Linked DNA regions of Arabidopsis thaliana. The protein of the gene in region 1 interacts with the protein of each later gene in a pairwise test. Each region holds a gene or a part of one and is shown on either strand. Other genes may lie near its edges.

Region 1 (5,078 bases):
GTTTAGAAGAGATACGAACCACCATTGTCACCCTTATACCGATCCGAGCGATTAAACGAAGGCCGGTCACGAGAGACTTCTCCGGGCTCATAGTCTCCGGCGGCGTTGCGGCCGTCTTCTCTGTCGTTGCTTCCGGAGGGACGTACGACGAGACTGCTGATGTGAGGCGGGTGATGTTGCGTCGTCTGCTCTTTTTCTGTCGACCCCATTTCTCTCCGATTGTCAAAACTCACTCCTGGAATTTCTCGATGTCCGTTTCAGAGAAAAAAAACCCTAGGGGAGACTTGGCGATAGATACTGGTAACTGTTATTAATTTATCTTTTGGTCTATCAACTTTTGTCTAATTTTCAATATTGCCCCTTAAGTTTTATATTTAGTATGTTGGACTAGTATGACTGATTCATGGAGTCAAATGTATTGTGGTTCTGGTTTTCTTCTTTTTATAGTAAACAACAGTTCACATTTCTGGAAGAATCAGATTCAGTTATGATTTTTGTGTGTGCTATTTTTGTTGTTTATGATATCAGTTTTGATTATGTAATTTGGGTAACTGAAAATAATTTATCTTAGCAAAAACTGGATGACATATAGGATAGGCTTTTATTCCATGGTCTCATTATTGAAGGGTTGCTACTACACATGTTGATAACTTGATATGAAAAGTTCAAAATTGATCAAAATATAGAAACAATTAAGAAATACAGATCCTAGAAAGCAAAACTCGAGTATATATAGATTTTGTTTCATTGTTACTTCAGATGAAAAATAGGGTAAAGAATGGCCTGGGCAACAAGAAAACTAGCTCTTCAGCTAATAGCTAAAGGCTAACACCGACTTTCCAATTGTAAATGTTACCATTTTCATACGAGGGAGGCAGAGAGAGAGGAACAACACACACACACACACAACACATTTTTGACAAAGTAGGCGAATTCAGGGGAAGTCGGGATGATCAAGATGCTCAACCATGGACTCTGCCAAGGAGAGATAAACACATAAAACTGAGATCGATGAGAGAAACAAAGCGCAAAAAAAAGTTGTGAGATCAATGAGCAAACGAATTTCAAAAGTTTTTGCCGCCATTGATACCTAAACAATGTCCTAACGAAAAGTTAACAATTTTCTAAGCGGTATTCTGTAACAAGATCTTCAAACAACAAAGAGTGTTGCATCAATCAAGACCTAAAGAAACACATGTCAGGTTTTGGTATATACCCATTCTCTTTGAAGAAGAAAGAGAGAGAGAGAAGAGACTGATTTATGTGTTTAAGCGAGCCAGAGCTTTTGACTGCGTACCTTAAATGCCAAGGTCAGGGGAATTCTATTGTAAATCCACTACTGGTAGGCTTTACATTCATGGGTCCAAAGCCATCAAAATCTGAATCTGAATCCATTTCTCTGTAATCATTCCACTTTCTCGGAGAATCCTCATCTGGTCCACTCATTGTCGGAGGCACATAGAGCTCTGAAACTGGAACTGGAAGAGGCTCTTCACTTAAATATTTGTCATTCAGCATCTCCATAGTAGTAGCTCTACTAGCTGGATCATAACAGATAAGCTTCTTGAGCAGCGATATCACATCCCCTGAATGGTTGGGAAGGCATCCTTCAATACCAAGAGGAGATTCTACTTTAGCAAATGAGATTGACTTGTAGTCTGGAAGATCAACACAACCAGGCCAGACCTCTTCATTTAAATTTCCCAGCACATTGGTCACTCTGCTGATCTGATCAATATCTGAAATTCCTGGGAACAAAGGCTCAAGAGACAAGAGTTCTGCAAACACACAACCAAGCGACCATAGATCGACCTCTAACCCATACATCGTAGATCCATAGAGCAGTTCTGGTGGCCTAAACCATCGGGTTCCCACACAAGATGTCATCAAACCCTGTGTATCATCCACTGCTTCGTCAGCATCGTAAGAAAACGAGTTCCTACCGAGATCATCATCCATTTCACTAACAGTGCACGTTGCAAGGCAAGATATGTCTCCATCATGCACATTCGAGTCCTTATCAGTATCATCTCTAACAACCTGTTTAGCCTTGAGCTCTTCCACCTGTCGGAAGTACTCGTCTTTACTCATCGCTTCCCGTTCCTGACCATCAGACCCTTGCCTAGGTGAGTTCTCATAATCAGGAATAACTTCTGGTGGTTCGCTGGTTTCTCCATCTTTGTCTTCCAGTTTGTAAGCTTGTTGGTTTTCATCTGAAGCTACAATATCATGCTCCATGAGTATCCTAGCCTGTATATGAACCAAGAAGCCAACACACATTTAGAAACTCATAGATTACACTAAATGATAAGGTCTAGCCACTTGATTACACTAACTCTTCCAAATTTCAAGCAAACCAAGCATTTTTCATTCAGAGGTTTCTCATATTTGTGCATCAAACAATGAAATAACTAACACAATCAGTAACAATCATAATCTCACCTGACCAAAATCAGCAAGCTTAAGAACTCCATCATCAGAAATCAACATATTCCCAGGCTTCAAATCTCTATGTACAATCAAATTCCGATGACAAGCATCAACACCGGTTAAAATCTGAATCATCCATCTCTTAATCTCCCCAACCGAGAATCCATCCCCTCCTTCTACCTTCTTCTTCCTCTTACCATCTCGGATCACCGCAGCGAGATCCGACCTAAGAAACTCAAGCACAAGCACAGCGTTCTCTTCCTCACGCCAGAAGTATTCGTGCATAACAACTACATTAGGAGATCCATTGAGGATGGTGAGCGCGTCAATCTCCCGGAACGCAGATTGGTAATCGAAAATCTCCTTGAGCGCGACGATTAGACCGTCGGAGAGACGGCGAGCTCTGTAAACGTCGGCGTAAGCTCCGGATCCGACTCGCTCGAAGATCTCGTACTTGGCGATTATCTCCGGCCGGGTATGGATACTCCAACTGGTCGCCGGTTGTTTATCCATCTCCTTTAAAACGGCGTCGCTTTTCTTCGGATCTTTCCTGATGATGGATGATTATTCACATAAACGCTAACGAATTCACCAGTTTAAAAATCCAGTTCCCATGTTGTAATGACTAAAATGCCCTCACAAGTTTTGGAGCGGACAAGAAACCAAACCGCAGGGGGGGACTTTTATCACTTATGCCACTTTTTTGAAAAAACTGATCTGGACTGCCATAAGTTAATCTGAATGCCACCGAAAATGTGATATACCAGTTGTACCCTTAATGAGTTGATTAAAAAAATGAAAAAGAAATTCAAAAGCTAAATAAAGAAAATCGAGTTCGGAGATTCTCCTCTTCGTCGTCGTGTTCTTCTTCTTTGGTCGACGTTCATCTTCTTCGTCGGCCACCATCGATTTCCTCATGCCGCCGACTTGAAATCCGGCGTAAAAGCCACGAATTAGGTCAGTTTCTTCTCATATTTCCTTTGACATTGGTGCATTGTGATTTTAGATTGGGATTTTGAATTCTATATAATTCCCAGCTCGATTCAATTTGATAGTTTGATGATTGGTTTGCAAAGTAAAGAGTAATCGATTAGAGGTTGCCGAAACGTTATTTGAGGTGATGAGCAAAGGAATGTAGGTTGAATGTGAGTTGAATTTGAATTCCGAGATTTCATATTAAAGATTTGGGGGGTTTGTGTTTGCAAAGTTTAGATTAACCAATTAGTTTAACGAATAGGTATGTATTAACATTGGAAATCAATTGAAAGGTAACGAATTAGGTTCAGTAGAGACGAGTGCGACGAGAGATTGATTTCAACGTATGATAAGAGTACATGTGGTATAACTATTAAAATGTTTGATTGGAGTTGAACTGGTTGTATTTTCAGGAGCGATGAAGAAGAAGATCCACACTAAGGTACATTTTGACTTTGGAGGATACTATTCTGAAGTGAATGAGTGGATTGGTAAAAATTCACTATATGTTATATCGTTTAAGACGAGTAGTTTGGAGAAGATTAGCTATTCGATGTTAGTTGACAAGATCATGAAGAAGGTTGCGATTGATGAAGCTTCTGTCAAGTTGAAACTGAGTTACAATCTGTCTAAAGTTAGGAGAGAGACATATATTGTAAATGATGAGGATGTCTTCATATTTTTAACAGAATCTGATGAAGAGAGTCGGATTCCTGTTTTGCATGTGGAGGAATTAAATGGTATAGGAGTTGAGAGGAGAGAGGAAATTTCTGTACCGGAGCGTCGAAGTTCAGTTGGTGTAAATGTAATAGAGGATGATGTTTTAAATGAAGTATGTGAGATGGTGCATGATGGATATGATAATGATGTGAATGATTGTGAGAATGTAGTAGGTACGGAGATCGTGGCTATCGAAAGGCCGATGGAAAGGCCGGTGAATTCTGTTGAGGAACAAGATGAGGATGATAGGATTGATTATGATGATATTCACGATATTCCACGAAGTGTAGAAGTTACTCCGCAGGTTATAGAATGGGATGATGGTACGGGTATTGAAATTGGTCAAGAATTTTGTTCAAGGGAGGCTGTGTGGGAATTGGTTAACAGAGCTGCAAAGAAAGAAGTTTTTGGAGTCTATACTATTAAGTCAGACCCGTTGAGACTTATGCTACGATGCCGCCAAGCTTCTAAAGGGTGTACTTGGTATCTAAGAGTTGCGAGAACTAAAAAATCTCATTTTTGGAGTGTTAGAGTGCATAGAAAGATGCATACATGCTCTCGGAGTGTTGAGACTACAAGCAACAGTATACAGCGAGGCACACCAAGATTAATAGCATCGGTTTTACATTGTGATTATCCCGGAAATTTAGAGACCCCAACTCCAAAAAACATTATGTCGATTGTAAGAGGAAGACTTGGGGTGCATTGTTCATACTCCACTGCCTTAAGAGGCAAAATGCTACATGTTAGTGATGTGCGAGGGACTCCGGAAAGAAGCTACACGATGTTATTTTCTTATCTTTACATGTTAGAGAAGGTAAATCCAGGGACAGTAACTTATGTGGAGTTGGAAGGAGAGAAAAAGTTCAAGTACCTCTTCATTGCATTAGGCGCTTGCATTGAAGGTTTTAGGGCAATGCGGAAAGTGATAGTTGTGGATGCAACTCATCTTA
Region 2 (4,309 bases), 5.0 Mb from region 1:
GAGATATCACAATGACCTTTAGGATTAATTAAATTACAATGCTCCATATTTGTCTTTTAATGTTCTAGGAAAATGGAGAGAAGAAGAAGAAGAAGAAGAGAAGATTGTTATCTATCCCGAGGAGATTATTAAATTATTAAGATGGGACTTTGGATGCCCACATACACAACTATTTAATGAACCTTCTTCTTATTTATTGCACTTCCCATCTCCCAATTAGCCCCTCTAACCAAACCCTTTTCTTTGGTTCTGTCTTATTAACTCTTACTAATAGGCTTAACCAAATCCAATCAAGTTCTTTGATTTAGAAAGACAAGTGTAGATGATGTGACACGTGCACGTTCCTTTCAAACCAAACAAGATACTATGATTTAAATTGTTTTCCTTAATTAAGTAATGTGGTGGTTGGAAGTGGATATTATAATGCCCTCGAATTAATTGCTAAAAAGATTCTCCCATTAAACTTTAGTGCCTTCACCAAGCTACCCACTTTTAATAATAGTAAGTATTTTTATTTCTCTCTTCCATTTTCGGTGATATAATGCTACATCTTAATGAACCACATGCATTGGCATCGTGTTGAATAAGTACACGCGTCTTTAGAATCTGATTTTACAAAGTCGGTGTTACAAGATAAAAATTGACAACACGTAGAGGAATAGAGACAATGTGTTTGTTATGGTGTATATATACACATTGGGTAAATATTGGGGCTGCTTCTACGGTAACAACCTGCTCAACTCTCAAAAACGAACTACTTGTTATTGGTAAAATCCAACAAACAACCAGAGAAAAAGAGTCATATAAATATACATTGTTAAGGAAGATTAGGAACAAAAAGAGAAGCACAATTTCTGCCACAAGTGTCTCCTAAAAGGCTACAACTTTGAACTCAAAAACCATCCAATCTTCACTCTTTTCAGGGATGCGATTTAGAACTCCACGAACCTACACACATATTTGCTCACTCTGTTTGAGAGTATGAGCCACGGTATGATCCCGACCTGCATTTTTACCCAACCAACACTCTCAATCAAGAACAAGCCCAAATAAATGGATTGAGAAGAAGGAACTTACCATTACATGGCCTGTCATGTGACCTCCTGTTCCCCAAGATAACAAAGTCCCTGTGAAACACACCACATTCATTTTTTTCCTATGTGTTATATACCATAAGCGAGCTTTAACCTGGTAAAAGTAAACTACTCACCAAACGGTTGAACAAGTTGCTTAGCGATAATGGCAATTGGAGTCCTCCAGAAGCACAATACCAAGATTAGGTATATCACAACCTAGAAACAAAGTTCTTAGCACATCTCGATTAAGGAGTTTTAGACGGAAAAAAAGAAGAAGCTTGAGCACACAAACTAAGCTACCTTCGAAGCAAGCAGACCCTTCCCATACATATCGTATGAAAGCTTGATTTCTTTGTGATGCTGCTCCAGATCTAAAATTTCAAAATGAGAATTAACAAATACACACACACACCAATACTACACCATGATGATGCAGTGCTTTAGTAGGAATATCTGCTACCAGATAGTATTCATGTTTAAAGCTAACTAACTGTTGCATCATATTTCTGAATTTCATGAACTCTACACTCACAAAGCAATCAATCATATTTCTGAATTTCATGATCTCTACACTCACTAAGCAATCAATCATATTTCTGAATTTCATGAACTCTACGCTCACTAAGCAATCAATGTAGAACTAATAATGTATGCATACTCACATTGTGCAAGTTCTTTCTCTTTAGTAGCTGCTGACCTCCTAAGTTTCGCTGCTTGCGCAAATGTGGCTGGCCTGCAAGTAAACAATAGATAAATCTCTAATCAACAACACTCATATATATATTTTTCAACAACTGCACCTTCCTTAACTCAAATCACTAGAACCAAAACAAAATGTGACAACAAAATGGCTTACTGAGACAATGCACTAGCCTCTCTCAAAAGCTGCTTAATTTCGGTTCGCAGCTCTGATTCCCTCGTGTTCTTCGACCCTTTCTGAAGAAATTCCATAATTCAAAACGATGATTCATGTGGATATGAAAAAAAGCCAAAAAGTATTATCTTTTTTACCTTCTTCAATTGGTCAAGCCACTTGGATAGCAATTGGAAGACAACGACGACGACGAAGGTCAGAGGAGCAGCCAAAAAGCCGCGATCTTCTATAAGCTTCTCTCCTTCCATTAACCCTTTTGCTGATTACTGATTCTAACGTAATTCACCAATCTGCTCGAACAATTCATAACTCAGTACCATTCAGATCAACAAAATAAAAGCCTTAATTGAATCCATCATGTTCTGGATAAACATATCATCTAATCAATGGAGGAGGAAAAGATTCTAGTGCATATAGAATGAGATCGTCGTGAGTATGATCGGAACTTACAATCTCCGTCGTGGATTCACAGAAATTTGAAGCCTTCAAGCCGAGGTTAACGTCTGAAATTGAACGAACGATGGGAATTTAGAATTGGCCTGAATCTGTAAAAGAGGAGGGTTCTGATTTTGATAAAACAAAAGTTTCTACTCGTTTCGTGAAATAAATAAAACTCAAGCCCTTATGTGTAAACAACAATAACTAAACCCTTTTTCAACAGGCTCTATTGGGCTTCGTTGAAATAAAGAAACGGCCCATTAAATTAAAACTAAACCGCTTGTTTATTTTCTTTAAAATTTCATTAAGCTTGGGTATACATGAGTACATGTGAAAAGAAACAACAACTAGGCTACAAGTTTCAGTCAACAGTAAAAGTATCCAAATTTAGAATGAATAGGATAAAAATAGATATAAATAGTAGAGATGTAGTAAAACTACAAAATGGAGGGTAAGAAATTAGAAATGTGAAAATTTAACAAACATAATGTATTCTTTTTACGTGGAGTGGTTGTAATGGTTTTACCAGAAATGGCACGCGTTGTCTCTAATCTTTCTCAACTAATCTAAAGACACTATATGTTTTGTCTCATCCGATCCCACTTAATTATGTTAATCATCTATCTAATTGGGGTTATCACCAAATCAGAGCATTATCGATAACATCGCAGATACCGAAGCTGAAAAAAGGAAGAAAAACAATGTAAGTCCAAATCCTAAACGTCGTAGCATCTTCAGCTTTCGTGTATGCATGCCATTATATTCCAATTACTTGACGACAAACTTTTGCTCCCACCACTTTTGATGTGCCTTTCAAACTTTGTATCCCCATTGTCCACTTCCTCTTTCTTTCAACCCGCTCCGTTTTGTAGCTATACTGTCTCACTTTTTTTCGTTGTTAGAGGTGTAACAATAAATTTACCAATTTAATCTAATATATCATTTCATTTGTAATGATATCAACATTCTTATCTAATATCAACAATCAAGAGTGATACATTATAAAGGCATTTGACATTTGTATATATTGGTGAATATATGTGAGATAAGTTTTGTACCTTGTGGACCAATTAATGTGGGGAGTTTGCAGAATCCGACTATGAAGTGAAACTCAAAATGCACACATGTGGTTTAGAATTGTATCAGAAAATTTTACATTATATGGGTGTTAAGAATTATATGTACTGCAATTATTATATATATCAAACACAACTAATATCTATTATATAAGATTATCACGATAGGAAATATATAAGTTTGCATCGGCTTTGCATTGAACACATATATTAATTGATACGTATATAGTATTCTACTTTTTTATAAATTAATCTTTTCGATCCCTAAATTAGTAAAAATATGATAATGTACATGCATGGATGTTTTCATTATGGGAAGGGAGCGTAGAGTAGCATTTTGATCGAGAGAAAACGAGGAGATCGAGAGAGAATGTCTTGTGTAAAAATGAGTGGTCTTTTTCACAATTATTTATCAATCAAAACACATCTCATACATATATGTTGATATCATTATTCCCTAGTCTATTGAACTCCATTTGTCTTTTTATCAATAGATAGGCCCACTTTTTATATACTTTTTCCTCCTTGCCAAATCATAAGAAGTTAAAACTTAAAAGTGGATCAACTAATTTATAGAAACCATTAACAACTTTTGACACTCTTCTTTAATGTGTGTTTCATTTTTAATTGAATGCCAATAATATAACTTTAAATTCCACTGAGAAGATTTGACGTAGAGACAAAGAAGTGGCTCCAATTCACCATCTCCCAAGCCACCAAAATCTCTCCTAAACCCTTTTGTCACTCCCTTTTCTCATATTCACTTTTTTTCCAAGGAATATTTAAAACCTCATGCAAGTTTTCTTGAATATAACAACATACGAATATGATCTTTGATTAGATTA
Region 3 (3,158 bases), on another chromosome or scaffold:
GTAGAGAAGAGGGTAATTTGGTAAATGACGAAGTAAGTACATTGAGCTTCTTCGCGGACAGAGACACTATCTCTCTCTCTCTCTACCCTTTGGATCTTTCTTCTCGATCAATTATCCATTTTGCCCAGATTTTTTCCAGAAGCTCATCGAATTCGTAAGCTTTCGCGCCTTTTCCTCTCTTTAATTTATTTGTTAATCAATTTTGAATGTGTTGTATCTCTAGGGTTTATAATTTCAGTTTCACCCTTGTTTTCTATTGTTTCGCGGAATAATCTCTTGTCATGGAAGGTTTAGATTGATTCGACCTTTTTGATCTTGACCTAATTTATTCCAATTTTCGTAAAATTGTTCCTTAAGACCTGTTTCTCTGACTAGCTCAGATTGATTTTGGTATCTGAATCAATTGCGGAACCCTAACTGGCAGATCAATTCGAGAAGTTTTGATTTTGTTTGAAGATAGTGAATTGCGAGTTCAGTGTGCTAATATCTGCTTGTAATTCTTACTCTTCAATTGTTTTCATAGATCGAATCACAATGTTTGAAATTTGGTTTCACTGTTGCTGAGTGTGTTTGGAGGAGAAGCTTGATTGGTTCGGTGTTTCACTGTTTGAAGATTATAAGAGTTATGGAGAATGGTGGTCAGTATGATAATGCGCGGTTCAAGCCCGATTACTTCAAAGGTGCACAATCTATGGTAAGACTTAAGATTTTTGGTTTCCTAAAGATATGTTTTTGTTAGTGTGATTGAAGTTATATAAGCAAAGAATGTTTGTTACAGTGGAATATGATTCCCCAGCATCAGATTAAGGAACAACATAATGCGTTGGTGATGAATAAGAAGATCATGTCCATCCTTGCTGAGAGAGACGCTGCTGTACATGAAAGAAATCAAGCTGTCTCTGCTAAAAAGGAAGCTGTCGCTGCTCGGGACGAAGCGCTTCAGCAACGTGACAAAGCTCTTTCTGAGAGAGATAAAGCTTTGATAGAGAGAGATAATGCTTATGCTGCTCTTCAACACCATGAAAATAGTCTCAACTTTGCTTTGTCTGGTGGGAAGTGTGTTGATGGAGATGATTGTTTTGGTATTGGGGAACCCCACAAACTTGAAGTCTTCCCTTTGTCAACTATTCCGCCTGAGGTTACAAACACGAAGGTGGTGAACAAAAGGAAGAAAGAGAACAAGCAGGGACTATCAAAGGTGAAAAAAGTGGGTGAAGATCTGAACCGTCGAGTTCCTGCTCCTGGAAAGAAATCTAGAACAGATTGGGACAGTCAAGATGTCGGTTTGAACTTAGTCACCTTCGATGAGACGACAATGCCTGTACCCATGTGTTCGTGCACAGGCTCTACGCGTCAGTGTTACAAATGGGGAAATGGCGGCTGGCAATCGTCTTGCTGCACAACCACCTTATCCCAGTATCCATTACCGCAGATGCCAAACAAGAGGCATTCTCGGATGGGCGGTAGGAAAATGAGCGGAAACGTTTTCTCGAGATTACTCAGCCGTTTATCAGCAGAAGGATATGATCTCTCGTGTCCTGTTGATCTTAAAGACTATTGGGCTAGGCACGGGACAAACCGCTACATCACTATCAAGTAGCCTCTGTTGTTTACACAGTCCAAGTATGTTTCTCTCGTCTTCTTAAGATTAGGTGTTGTCTTTGTCTTTATTGTCCATAGTTTGTTCTTTGTTGTGTATGGTAAAACCATTGTTATGTGTATCTTTTGGATGGGCAAAAATGGTTTGCATAAAAAATCTGTGTTTTGACCTCAAAAAATAAAATAAAATCGTAACAGTTAAAAATCAAAATCTGTTACCCCTTTGATAGCAAAATCTGTTACCCCTTTTTTCTTTCACTTGTTAGTTTCTTTTTATACCGAGAGGAGAGAACAAAAAATAAAACACAAAGTAAGCATAAACAACAACAAAATGATGGAGAAAGCCACAGTGGCGCATGTGGAGACGCATCAACGGTCACAAGAGATATGGTTTCTTGGCGCCGCAAGAGCCTTCTTGCAAATTCCGAATCCGGGGATTGTCAAAGTTTTTGTCCTAAGCAGCTTGACTACATTCACCTCAGGAATGGCTTTAGTCATTGAGTGGATCTGTCACGGAAAGAGTCACACGGGATTCGGGTGGATCATCTACTATGCATTGTTCTTGATGTGTCTTCCTCTTGTCATCTTGATCGGTCTTCATATTCTCGTCAGGCGCGGCTCAGATCAGATTGTGGATTCAACTCCAAGCAAAGAACCGTGTGTGGTGCAGAATCAGAGTACCGAGACGACTAAACGAACTGAAGAAACGGTGAAAAACAGCTGCCAAAGTTTAGCCGTTGTGGTTGCTCCGGATGACAAGAAGATGCCGAGGATAAAACGCGCAGTGTCATTCCCGTCTCACGGCGAAGTAAGATCATGTCGAACTCGTTAGCAAATTAAAACTTAGTGTGGTTCATTCAAAAAAATAACTTTGATGTGGTTAGCTATCAGATCGATTCAAGAATCTAATAATCTCTTTTGTGATATGTTTGTTATTCAGCATTTTATCTTTTCCAATAATCCAACGACCAATGATCTTCAAAAATTCGAATTACATCTTTCTTTCTTTTTTCCCCTCTTATGAGCTGAGTTCAATATATATATATATATATATATATATATATATATATATATATATATATATTGATGTACTATATATTGTTAGTTAAAAGCAAAAGATGAAAAAGTCTTACAATGGGTTTTGGTTTTTCTTTGAAATTTTGTAACAACCCAAGTAAAATACTAGATCCTCTGTTTTTTAGGGAAAGTATTTTTTGCAAAATTTTGAATTGCTATAAAGTAGAGTTTTGGAAAAACTAAAATAAAAAATCTTTACATTCAAGGTAAAAATCTCTACTTCTTTGAAATAATGCCACGTGTCAGTTCAGCGAGGAATAATATGTGTGAGTCTCATGGGTTGTTTGAGTCAATTTCGTTACCGGTTCTACAATAAGAAGTTACTTTGGCCCAAATAGAAAGAAATTTTACTTATCAAGTGGCCGAAAGGTGGCCCCAAAAAAACAAGGAAGTAAATCTACTAATGTACATTTGTCGCTACATAATTGGTCTAAGATAAATTACTTATATAGAATACTGTTATGGTGATTTACCCAATTTTT

Evidence for each region.
Region 2: the proteins of CAK1AT (region 1) and AT4G16444 interact in a protein complementation assay, tested with the Arabidopsis thaliana proteins (one large-scale study listed by BioGRID).
Region 3: the proteins of CAK1AT (region 1) and AT2G21237 interact in a protein complementation assay, tested with the Arabidopsis thaliana proteins (one large-scale study listed by BioGRID).

What each region holds. Positions count from the first base shown.
Region 1 is NC_003075.7:14,286,336-14,291,413, reverse strand, and holds CAK1AT (CDK-activating kinase 1AT), read right to left. Parts: upstream 3,018-5,078; 5' UTR 2,944-3,017; coding exon 2,443-2,943; intron 2,251-2,442; coding exon 1,312-2,250; 3' UTR 1,298-1,311; exon of another isoform or gene 976-1,297; 3' UTR 501-975; downstream 1-500. Other genes in the region: AT4G28990 (RNA-binding protein-like protein), read right to left, coding at 20-209. UniProt on the Arabidopsis thaliana protein: CDK-activating kinase that modulates CDKD-2 and CDKD-3 activities by phosphorylation of the T-loop. Activates CDKD-2 C-terminal domain (CTD) kinase activity. Activates CDKA-1 probably by phosphorylation.
Region 2 is NC_003075.7:9,273,859-9,278,167, forward strand, and holds AT4G16444 (tail-anchored protein insertion receptor WRB-like protein), read right to left. Parts: upstream 2,590-4,309; 5' UTR 2,401-2,589; intron 2,241-2,400; 5' UTR 2,199-2,240; coding exon 2,088-2,198; intron 2,013-2,087; coding exon 1,933-2,012; intron 1,810-1,932; coding exon 1,739-1,809; intron 1,448-1,738; coding exon 1,377-1,447; intron 1,293-1,376; coding exon 1,211-1,292; intron 1,128-1,210; coding exon 1,078-1,127; intron 1,005-1,077; coding exon 933-1,004; 3' UTR 580-932; downstream 1-579.
Region 3 is NC_003071.7:9,099,957-9,103,114, reverse strand, and holds AT2G21237 (uncharacterized protein), read left to right. Parts: upstream 1-1,899; 5' UTR 1,900-1,930; coding exon 1,931-2,431; 3' UTR 2,432-2,579; downstream 2,580-3,158. Other genes in the region: BPC4 (basic pentacysteine 4), read left to right, coding at 626-694, 779-1,600.